Linked DNA regions of Drosophila melanogaster. The protein of the gene in region 1 purifies or fractionates together with the protein of each later gene. This does not show direct contact. Each region holds a gene or a part of one and is shown on either strand. Other genes may lie near its edges.

Region 1 (4,983 bases):
ACGCCAAAATGCAAGACAAGACAACCTGGTCGATAACAAAGGTAAACAGGCAACGGCCAGCCAAGGAGCAGGGCAACTGAAAAAGCCTCGGTCGTGGGATTCGATCGGGATTGTCGGCTCAGCGCGACTGGGCTGAGAACCAGATGCAGATGCCGATACAGATATAGATACACGTACGCGCAGATACGGATTCAGATACAAGTACACCCGCCCCTGCCGCTGTATGCCCAACTAATCATTGTGTGATTCTTGTTTGTTTATTTGCCCGGCATTATGAAGAGACTTTTCGGTAGAAATTATTTATTGTCGCATGTGTTTATGTATCCGTAACCGAGTATCTCAGTTGCTTGAGCCAACTGTGTAGCTGTGTAGCTGTGAGTATAGCCCTTAAAGTGGCACCCAATCGGTCAGTTAGCTAGAAATTCAGATGATTAAATATGGATTCCCCTACATCAGCTAATTTCAACAGTTTGGGAGTAATAAAATCGAAATTGGATGCTACTAAAGGGCACATATTTACTTAGGCTTTTATCAACGTTGCATATATACAAATATCCTGCATATTTCGCAAACCAAAGATTCTTTCTCAAGTAAGGCCTAAACAATTTGAAATGGTTAATTTCGTAGATGTTGCTTTTTACAATTAACTTGTCATGTGGAATATACTTTACTGCCTAAAATTTAAGGCAGTTAAAATCCCTAGAAATGCAAATAACTTATTGCAGAAACGGGCTCTGTCGGCTGTATTTTGCTCTTATCTATGAAATATTGTCAATATTTTCCAGGCAAAGCACATGAAATAATGATCTAGACAACGGTTTCTCCCATTTGCAGTGAACTTAAAAATTAAAAACCCCCGAGACGTGTCTTCCTGCACAGAAAAAGAGACAATGGGAAGGTAAGTCACCGGGTGGGAGTCCCTGGGCCGAATCGATCAGCCCGTCGCATTGCTATATAAGCTCGGCGAAACCACAATCTGCAACAACAGTATCTCTCCAGTTGTATTCCAAGATGAAGTTCTTCGTTCTCGTGGCTATCGCTTTTGCTCTGCTTGCTTGCGTGGCGCAGGCTCAGCCAGTTTCCGATGTGGATCCAATTCCAGAGGATCATGTCCTGGTGCATGAGGATGCCCACCAGGAGGTGCTGCAGCATAGCCGCCAGAAGCGAGCCACATGCGACCTACTCTCCAAGTGGAACTGGAACCACACCGCCTGCGCCGGCCACTGCATTGCCAAGGGGTTCAAAGGCGGCTACTGCAACGACAAGGCCGTCTGCGTTTGCCGCAATTGATTTCGTTTCGCTCTGTGTACACCAAAAATTTTCGTTTTTTAAGTGTCACACATAAAACAAAACGTTGAAAAATTCTATATATAAATGGATCCTTTTAATCGACAGATATTTAAATATTATAATGATTTGTAATTATTACTAATTACTTTTTATGGAAATAATTGGTAAGAAGGAACTGGGACTGTAAAAATTTCTTAATAGTTAAGCTACTATTTTAATAATAAATATTGATCACAGAAAATTTTCAAAATATTTTATATTTCTTTGGCTTTATAACTTTCAAAGTCATAGAAGAACGACTTAATTATTCCTTGTGTATGTTCCTTAGTCTTAGTCTGTGAAAATAATCTGCGTTTATCATTACCAATTCGTACAACAAAATATCGGTCATTAGCGTTAGCGACTTACCATATAAGTTAACTAAACCTAATCGAGCTAAAAAAAAAATTGAGGTCCCGAGGAGCACGATCTATATATACCAAATATATACGTATATATTTACTTTGTTTAAAAAAGCTCTTAACGGGAGCAGTTATTGGTCTTCATGGCGATTCAAGGCAGATTTTAATAAAGAAATATTAAGCTCAGTAAACTTTACTTAAAAAAGCAATACAAATTTGAAATTCTTTTTAAATTTGTATAATTTCTCCCATCGATTGTTTGCGTTGTACTTTAATATAATTTGGTTACATAAAGCTTTTGCTGTAGTTTCCAAACATACAATGTCATATAACGGCATAATTAGTCAGTTTCTAACTGAGCAACAAACGGAAACAGCTTTCGCATATACTTTATTCCGCATAACTTTGAAAAGAAACAATAATATTTTCTATTCTTACGACAAAAATACTCATTATCATAAACCGGCAGCCTTTCAATTTACTATAAAACACGAATGCAACCTGAACGAGCTGGAACAGTTCTCGATTTCATATCACAACATGAAGATCACGATTATTCTGGCGCTAACTCTAGTTGCGGTTTGCTTAATGCAGGTTCGATCTATTCCGAAGGATTCCGAGAATAGACTTCTGCAAAAGGAGCTTCAAAGGAGTCTTATCCAGGATGCGAAGGAACATGTCCGCCCAAGGCGACAGTCCTGCATTGAGCGGTGCAATTCCCTCTGTTCGAAGAAGGGCTTTAAAGGTGTTTGTGTTAAAGGTTTGTGCCGTTGCACTTGATTTTAATAAGGAGATATATATTTTTCTATATATTTTTAAATAAAATCCACATTAAATCTATGTGTTTTCTATTTAAGATTGCGGTGCTTCTCGAACTCATTCATAGCTGAATAAATTATCATCGATCGCTTATCTCGTAGCCCGCGAATGCCACTTTCCGTTTGGCAGGGTCAAAAAATTGAACCTACGCTAAAAGGTATAGCAACAATTTGCATTGCATTTCCGTTTCTTTTGCGGCATTGCTCTATAAATACGGCAAGTCCGACGACTACAATTCGTTCTTATCAATTAACCGAGCAAACAAACAGACGCCAAGAAAAATGATCATCAGTGCAAGCGAACAAGGGGAATAGGGAAGAGAAACACGCGCCGAGAGAGAAACACGACACTTAATTAACGCCAATTATAATGGTTAATAAGAGTATGTAGAAATCGAGGAACGCGGCCGACTTGTGGGTTTCTTTTAATTTACAAACGCTTTGCCGGTTAATTACGCGAACCCCTCGTCCTCACATCTCGATCCGAAAACAGAGCAACCACTCGCGAGCGATTCTCCATTTGCACTGACTCTTCAGTTATCGGCTCACTATATAGTAGCACATCGGCTAATGTACATAAGTTTTCGATCTAGAGCTAAGAGAATACGAGAATTGAGATGCACATATGTATATAATGCAGCTCTCCCCCAAACTTAAACATTTCAACGTGCATCGTGCTACGATCAAGATTTGAATTAACGCGCGCACTTGACTATCGATATTTTTTTTGTTCAAACGATTTACAAATGTTAAACGACATCATTTTATGTGAATCATCAAATTAAATCTCTTAACGACAAGTACACATATTTCATTTTTAGCTTAAAATAGGTAGAGATGGTCACCTTAAAAATATTTGATAGCCAAAACTGGCGTTAGCTAGAAAAGTTCTATCGATAGCCGGGTATTATCAATAAGGTTTCTTTAAAACGTTTACCACAATTCTTGTGAACGCTGACCCAGACCCACTGACCGCGTCCCTCGTCACCACATCTTGGGCATAAATTAAGTAGAATTCTTCACTTATCGCTGCAGAGCATCAAGAACCACGTCGCTCTTAAGTCGTCGTAAATACAGCACACGTCTTTATCAACGCCGCACTTTTAAACGGAAGGCGCTTCTGCTGACGTGGTTAATGCAATTAGTTTCCACGCGTTAAACTATTAAACAATCAATTAAAAAGATGCTGACGAAGGCGCTTATCCTGTTCGGCCTGCTGGCCTTGGCCCAAGGTTACAGCTTCACCTCCCGCGAGGTCAAGTGTCACGGTAAGGAGAATCCACACATAACAGCGCGCCAGCAACAGGCGGCAGTGCACTTGTTGGCTGGCCCTGGGAGCCCGGATAATTGAGGTTCCATAAATTACAGTGTGCAAGGCCGTGGTTACGGAACTGGAGGAGGCCATTGCCAAGGAGGACCCCCACAAGATGGCCGATGTCAGTGGATTCCGGCTGGACGCACAGGGAAATTCGATCAGCAAGAAAGTTCGCCTAGTGAAATCTGAAATGTTCCTTACCGAACTGATGGAGAAGATCTGTAAGTAATTATTACCATATGGTACGGAATAGCATAGAGGCTTGATAAAGACCAGTCTAATCTTAAAACATTTGACGTTAGTCAAAAGTTTTACCTTCGAGCGTAGCTATTGTTTATCAATGAAGATAGTTATATGTGGTATTCTATTAATGATAACACTTTGCTTATCATTCCTAATATTTTCCCGTTCTAAGGCGAAAAAATGGACGACTACTTGAAGGCAACCTACAAGAGCAACGGGAAATTCACACTCCTCAAGATGATCATCAATGGTCAGATGAACCCAGACTCCTCGTTGGTTGACTTTGTGCAAGATGGTGATCTCAACAAAAGCCTGGGGCACTTCTGCAACGAAGTACTGGAGGACAACGATGAGATCTTCGTTAAAGCCTTCCAGGCCGAAGAGCTCGGAAACGATTTAGACATCAAGATCTGCTCAGAACAAGCGAGCTACTGCGACGAATCGCCGGTCCAGGAGGAGTATGACTTTGATGGCAAAGAGGAACTGTAGTTTGTCCCAGTGAAAGCTTAGTTAATTAACGAATTTCCTTGATCGCCGCCAGTGGAGGTCTTTGTACTGATATTTCGAACGAAAATTATGTTTAGCTAATGTAAAGAAAACCATGCCAAGTGTTACAAATTATGTACGACAATAAATTCCATGTGCAATGTATTTTTATTAATTTATTAACGAGTGTTCTATGTCATTTTGGGATTACTCATCCTTGCTGTAAAGCAAACATTAATAACGATACGATTTTATTGGATTACTCGGATTACTTACGGATCATTGGTTACATTACGAAGCATCTGATGGCGAATAACTAGGAACGGAGCCCCAAAGCCCACGACTCCCGCAATTAGGTAAAATAGTGTGAAACGCATTGGACTATCCAAGCCAAAGGGTAAGTTCTGTGAGGGAAATTGTAAGTTCTTAG
Region 2 (4,745 bases), on another chromosome or scaffold:
TCGGTTTCTTTGGGACCTTCGCTCTCATCGATCGTTCCGTAGTGTACATTATAATTTATAACTTTATCTAAACGATGTGGTGGTGTTTAATTTTCGACCTCACCTTTTCCAGCTCGTTTTTGTTTTTTGTTGCCGTTTCGCCATCCCATCACCATCATCATCATCATCATCATCACGGTTGTTTCTGATGTGGATTCGTTTCATTGGAGAACTGTTTCCGCTTCGCATGACTCACTTTTCGCTGTTTGCCCCGGGGTCTTGAGTCTTCTCCTTTTTTTTTTCTTATTTTTTGGGAGGTCTTTCTTTATCGCACACTAATTTGAATAGGATTCCATTTCGTGATGAACATATCACCGGGAACGGAAAACATCCATGGGGGGTGGGAGGGCGTTTGCGCCCAGCTGGACGCCCGCAACTGACCACCATGAAGTTCCCGCTGCCCTGGCTATATAGTATCTTGTTAATGAAGAAATAGATACACAGACGCCCCGAGACGCCTAGGTATTTAAGATCGAGGTCGGTGCCCGCGGGGTGACGAGTGAAAGTCCGGGGAGAAGAGGCTGGTGTGTTCGGGTCGTGCATTGTCTGCCACACCGCTGCAGCCTCAAGACAATCGCTTCGTTTTCGCAAATTGCAAAGGGAAAAAATTAACAAAAGAAAAGAAATGAAGAAAAAAAAACAAACGATACCACCACACGTGCTGTGCGAGGTCATGACACGGCTATCAATTTGAACAGAAACATTTAGCCCTAGGGAAATAGCTGCCAAGCATCTGAGACTCTTCAAAGGCGTGAAATCTGAGCCTGCTCCACGGGTTCATCAAGCCGATCGTAAAACATAGCCTATGAAATAAAATTAGAACTCATTCAGACATCAATTAGAACCGAGCATGCAAATTTCAACCAGCGGCATCGATAAAAGCCCGGATTAAAAGCCACCGGAGCACCCGAGAAGACCACTGTGAGATGGATTGATTTACGTTGAATATGCAAATTGCAGCGAGCCAACGTTGAAAGCTTTTAGAAGAGCATTTCGAGAATTTGAATAAATATTTAGGCCCATCGGACACAGAGAAAAATAATCAGAATCAAGCCAGCTCCTGTGGCAGATGACACGGCCAGGGAAAACTCGAAGTTGGTCCTGAAGAATGCCGGAACCCATAAATAAATGCGAATCACTATTGAAATATATAAAACGAAAACAGGATATGTGTCATATCAAATTTTATGGAACTACGTAGATTCATTGGCTGTCGAAATCGTTTGGCAATCATCGAAGAGAATAGATATCTTACGAAAGCTAAGCTTGCGTTACTAACTTTAATTTCCCCTTTTACTCATACTACATGCTGTTAATAAATACAACATCTTATAAATTGTGGTTGGGCATTCCTTAATTAAAATACTTTATAATATCTAATAAGCATTACAAAGTTTGTGGTTTAGTTCGAAGCTCGTTTTCCAAAACTCTAAAGACTCAAATTAATTAATTCATTTCAGATTGCGCCCTTGTATTACTCATGTATTCTCGGCGTTAACCTGTGAATTAAATTGAGTTCGCATAAACACCTCTATTCATTGCACCACTGTGCCAACATCTGTGCTCGCCGTTCTCTTTTGTTCGAAAGAGAGCGTTCGGATGGTTCTCTTAGCGCCGATTGTCGAGTGCCGAGTGTGGTTCGTGTTCGCATCGTTAAAGTTGTAGCACTCAGGGCGGATGTTTGATTTCGATGGCAAAGTCAATCTGTTCGGGTTTCTCGTCGTGGAAGGTTCGTTGCGCGCGCGGAAAAACTGAAAATATCGGTGCGAAATTCGAGCGGAAAAACGCTAGAAAAGAAGGCGAGTGCATTTCCTCGACCTGAGAACGCCGGTGGCCAAGGAGCTTTGCAATTAAATCTATTTTCGCCGACCTAAGTACACAAAACGTAGGAGAAAATTAAAAAGAAGAAAAAAAAAACAAATCTAATCGCTGGCAAATCAATTGCTAAGGAATTGAGTACTATTCGTTGTTATGTCATGGAAAGTCTCTGAATAAGTTAAGAAAATACTTGTGAGAAATTTAGCGACCTTTCAAAACTAGAAAGTAGAAAAGCAAAAAGTGCTAGACACGCGCTCTCTCTTCGACCACCACCCACCACCACCCACTATCGCCATCCCACGTTTACTACCACGTTTATTGCTCACGCGTGTTTTTGGGGCCTTTTGTTTTGTGCGCTCGTGTTTGTGGCCGTGTGTGCCAGTGTGTGTGTGTGCGTGTTAGCCGGCAAGTGCATTTGTGTGAGTGTGTGTGTTTGTTGCCGCGAACAGCTGTTCACCCAGACAGCATGCAGAAGTAAATACGAAGAAGTGCTGCAAAATAGAGTAAATAAAATAACCGGCTAAAATAAAAATAAGAGAAGCATTCAAAGGCAAATCAAATTTAGCCCCATCATCCACTGTGTCTGCACACAGAAATCACCCATCAAAAATGGCGGCCAGGAGCGTGCGGCTAGCGCAGCTTTTGCTATTTACCCTGCTCTGCGGCTTCGTCGGCCTGTCAGCCGCCAAGCACCTGGACCTGGATGGTATCCACCACCACCAGCACCACCTGCACAGCGCCACCACGCACCACAGACGTCGCCTACAGCGGGACTCGCGGGCGAAGGACGCCGTTGGGGGATCGACCCACCAGTGTGATGCCGTCAAGAGCTACTTCGAATCGATCGACATCAAGTCGAGTGGGACTTACAGCGAAAAAGGTAAAGTTCACGCCATCCATCCGTAGAGTTATAATATCGAGTATGCACTTGGACATGCGGGCTGGGGAAGAAGCGGGGAACGATGGAGGAAGTTAAAGCTACCAATATGGTTAAGGCCCCTTAGGAGCAAACGTACTAACTTTAAACTATGCAGAGGAAAACGTATGTTATTTCCCCAGGTCACTAGAGTGGTTCGAATACTTAAAGTCTAAGTTATCTACTCCATTAAATAAGAAAGAGGTACATAAATTGGGATTATTGATAATGGTTTTTCAATTTAATTACTTTTGCATCCTCTCCGTTTAAAAACATTTCTTTTGCGGGAAATTCATTGCCTTGATTTCAGAGTTTGTCTTAACCCTCGCCTCGCCATCAGTCTTCCATACTTCAACCAAGTAAATCGCGCGTCAGCCAAAGTTTTTGCCATCCCGCAGCTGCAGTTTCTCTTATTTCTAGTCCGTTCTAGACCCCATCCGCTTCTCAATCCCCGCCAGAAACTAGAAGCATATGCAAATTCATTGAACTGAGTGAAACCCTCGAGCGGGCAGCCACTCGAGGCGAACTATGACCACTCGAACAGCCGGGCGCCGTTTGCAATTAGAAGATTGCGCATTGAGCAACGCCTCGGAAAAGTTTTCGACGTGCCGTGGATAAAGTTTTTGGCCGCGCCAGGTTCATTACATATCGGATCTGGCACCTCGCAGATGCAGAGATACATAGATACACAGGCGGCGGCATCATTTGTTATTCTGATTTCTCGACACTGCCATATCAAGTGGCACGCATCTGAGGCCAAACTGTGTGAAGGCTATGGAAGGTATATTTATATTTACCACAGCCGATATCCACAAGATACTCGACATATTTTTGTTTATGCATATTTCATACCCGAAGTCAAAAATAAGACCGAATAACCAAATAATGCAATACAATCCGATAATATCAGTCGAAAACGAGCGAATGTACCCAATATATATCTGTTTCGTGTAATTGAGTGAAAAATAATTATTATTGATTAGCCGACCTTGACTTGGTATTTACGCGTTTACGCACAATTACATGATACACAGCCGCAAACTCGACTGGAATACAAATGTATCTGGCGATGATGTTGCAACTTTTCCCTCCAATGCTTACCTGTCTGCAGAGGTTCTCGGTTCTCTTTGCTCATTCTGTTCAGTCGTTCCCACACGCAGGTAGTTAACGCCAAGAAGAACTATCTATGAGATACATTGCTGAGCAGACCGCATTGCCATGGCATCAAAGTGTGAAGAACCGAATAGCCAACCGAGAGTTGGCGTTACAAGTGCATGTTTGTGTGTCCCAGAGACTTATCCACCTGAATGCCAGAATGCCCAATTGAACTGGTAGCTGGAAGTTATTAGCGCTGGCTTTGAGGAATTTCAATTTGGCTAATGCCAGGCGGCGTATCTCCGATCAGCACCTATGTATGTATCTCTGTATCTCTGGTCGTTGCTCCTGCTTAAGTATGCCGAACCTTGTTTTCGACATTTATTTACTGTTTACATAGTTCCACTTGCGCCTGCCTCCGCCTCCGTAGAATTTATGCCCCGCCAATGTATCTATGTATATCTGTTAATGTATCTGTATCCGTACAGTACGTATCCGTATCTCCATCTATATCTCTTTCTGTTTGCTCTGGAGTGTGTTACTTTTACGTTTATGTGCTGTTTGTGATGCTAATCTCTCGTCGGTGCCATGCATACGATATGTTTCTCCCGATTTGCTTTTGCCGTGCAGTTCCCGGTAGAGGCGCTCGGCATAAAACTAAATTTTAATTTAATTGCGCACACCACTCGACTGCTAATTGAGTTGGCTTTGCTTTTGGGCCAAAAAAAAAAAACAGTATTACTCCGTGCCTATTAAAATGAACATTAACATTGGCGCGTTACAAAGACGCACAGGAAGTCGTAGCTGCAGTATCTAATCGTATCGCACAGTATCTGTATCTGTTTACCTGCAAGTATCTGTAGTATCTGTATCTATG

The links. Proteins that work in one complex are often made in the same cells at the same time.
Region 2: the proteins of magu (region 1) and dally purify together in Drosophila melanogaster (affinity purification with western blotting, with the first as the bait; one study listed by BioGRID). This does not show direct contact.

Annotation. Positions count from the first base shown.
Region 1 is NT_033778.4:10,050,596-10,055,578, reverse strand, and holds the start of magu (magu), read right to left. Parts: upstream 3,039-4,983; 5' UTR 2,944-3,038; exon of another isoform or gene 2,584-2,943; intron 2,485-2,583; exon of another isoform or gene 2,186-2,484; intron 1,402-2,185; exon of another isoform or gene 1,291-1,401; coding exon of another isoform or gene 1,012-1,290; exon of another isoform or gene 1,003-1,011; intron 1-1,002. Other genes in the region: Def (defensin), read left to right, coding at 1,012-1,290; sel (seele), read left to right, coding at 3,693-3,777, 3,878-4,045, 4,240-4,556; COX7CL (cytochrome c oxidase subunit 7C-like), read right to left, coding at 4,761-4,773, 4,830-4,957.
Region 2 is NT_037436.4:8,825,767-8,830,511, forward strand, and holds the start of dally (division abnormally delayed), read left to right. Parts: upstream 1-1,738; 5' UTR 1,739-2,466; coding exon 2,467-2,737; intron 2,738-4,745. UniProt on the Drosophila melanogaster protein: Cell surface proteoglycan that bears heparan sulfate. Functions as a coreceptor for growth factors and morphogens, such as the products of dpp, to regulate signaling and distribution of these ligands.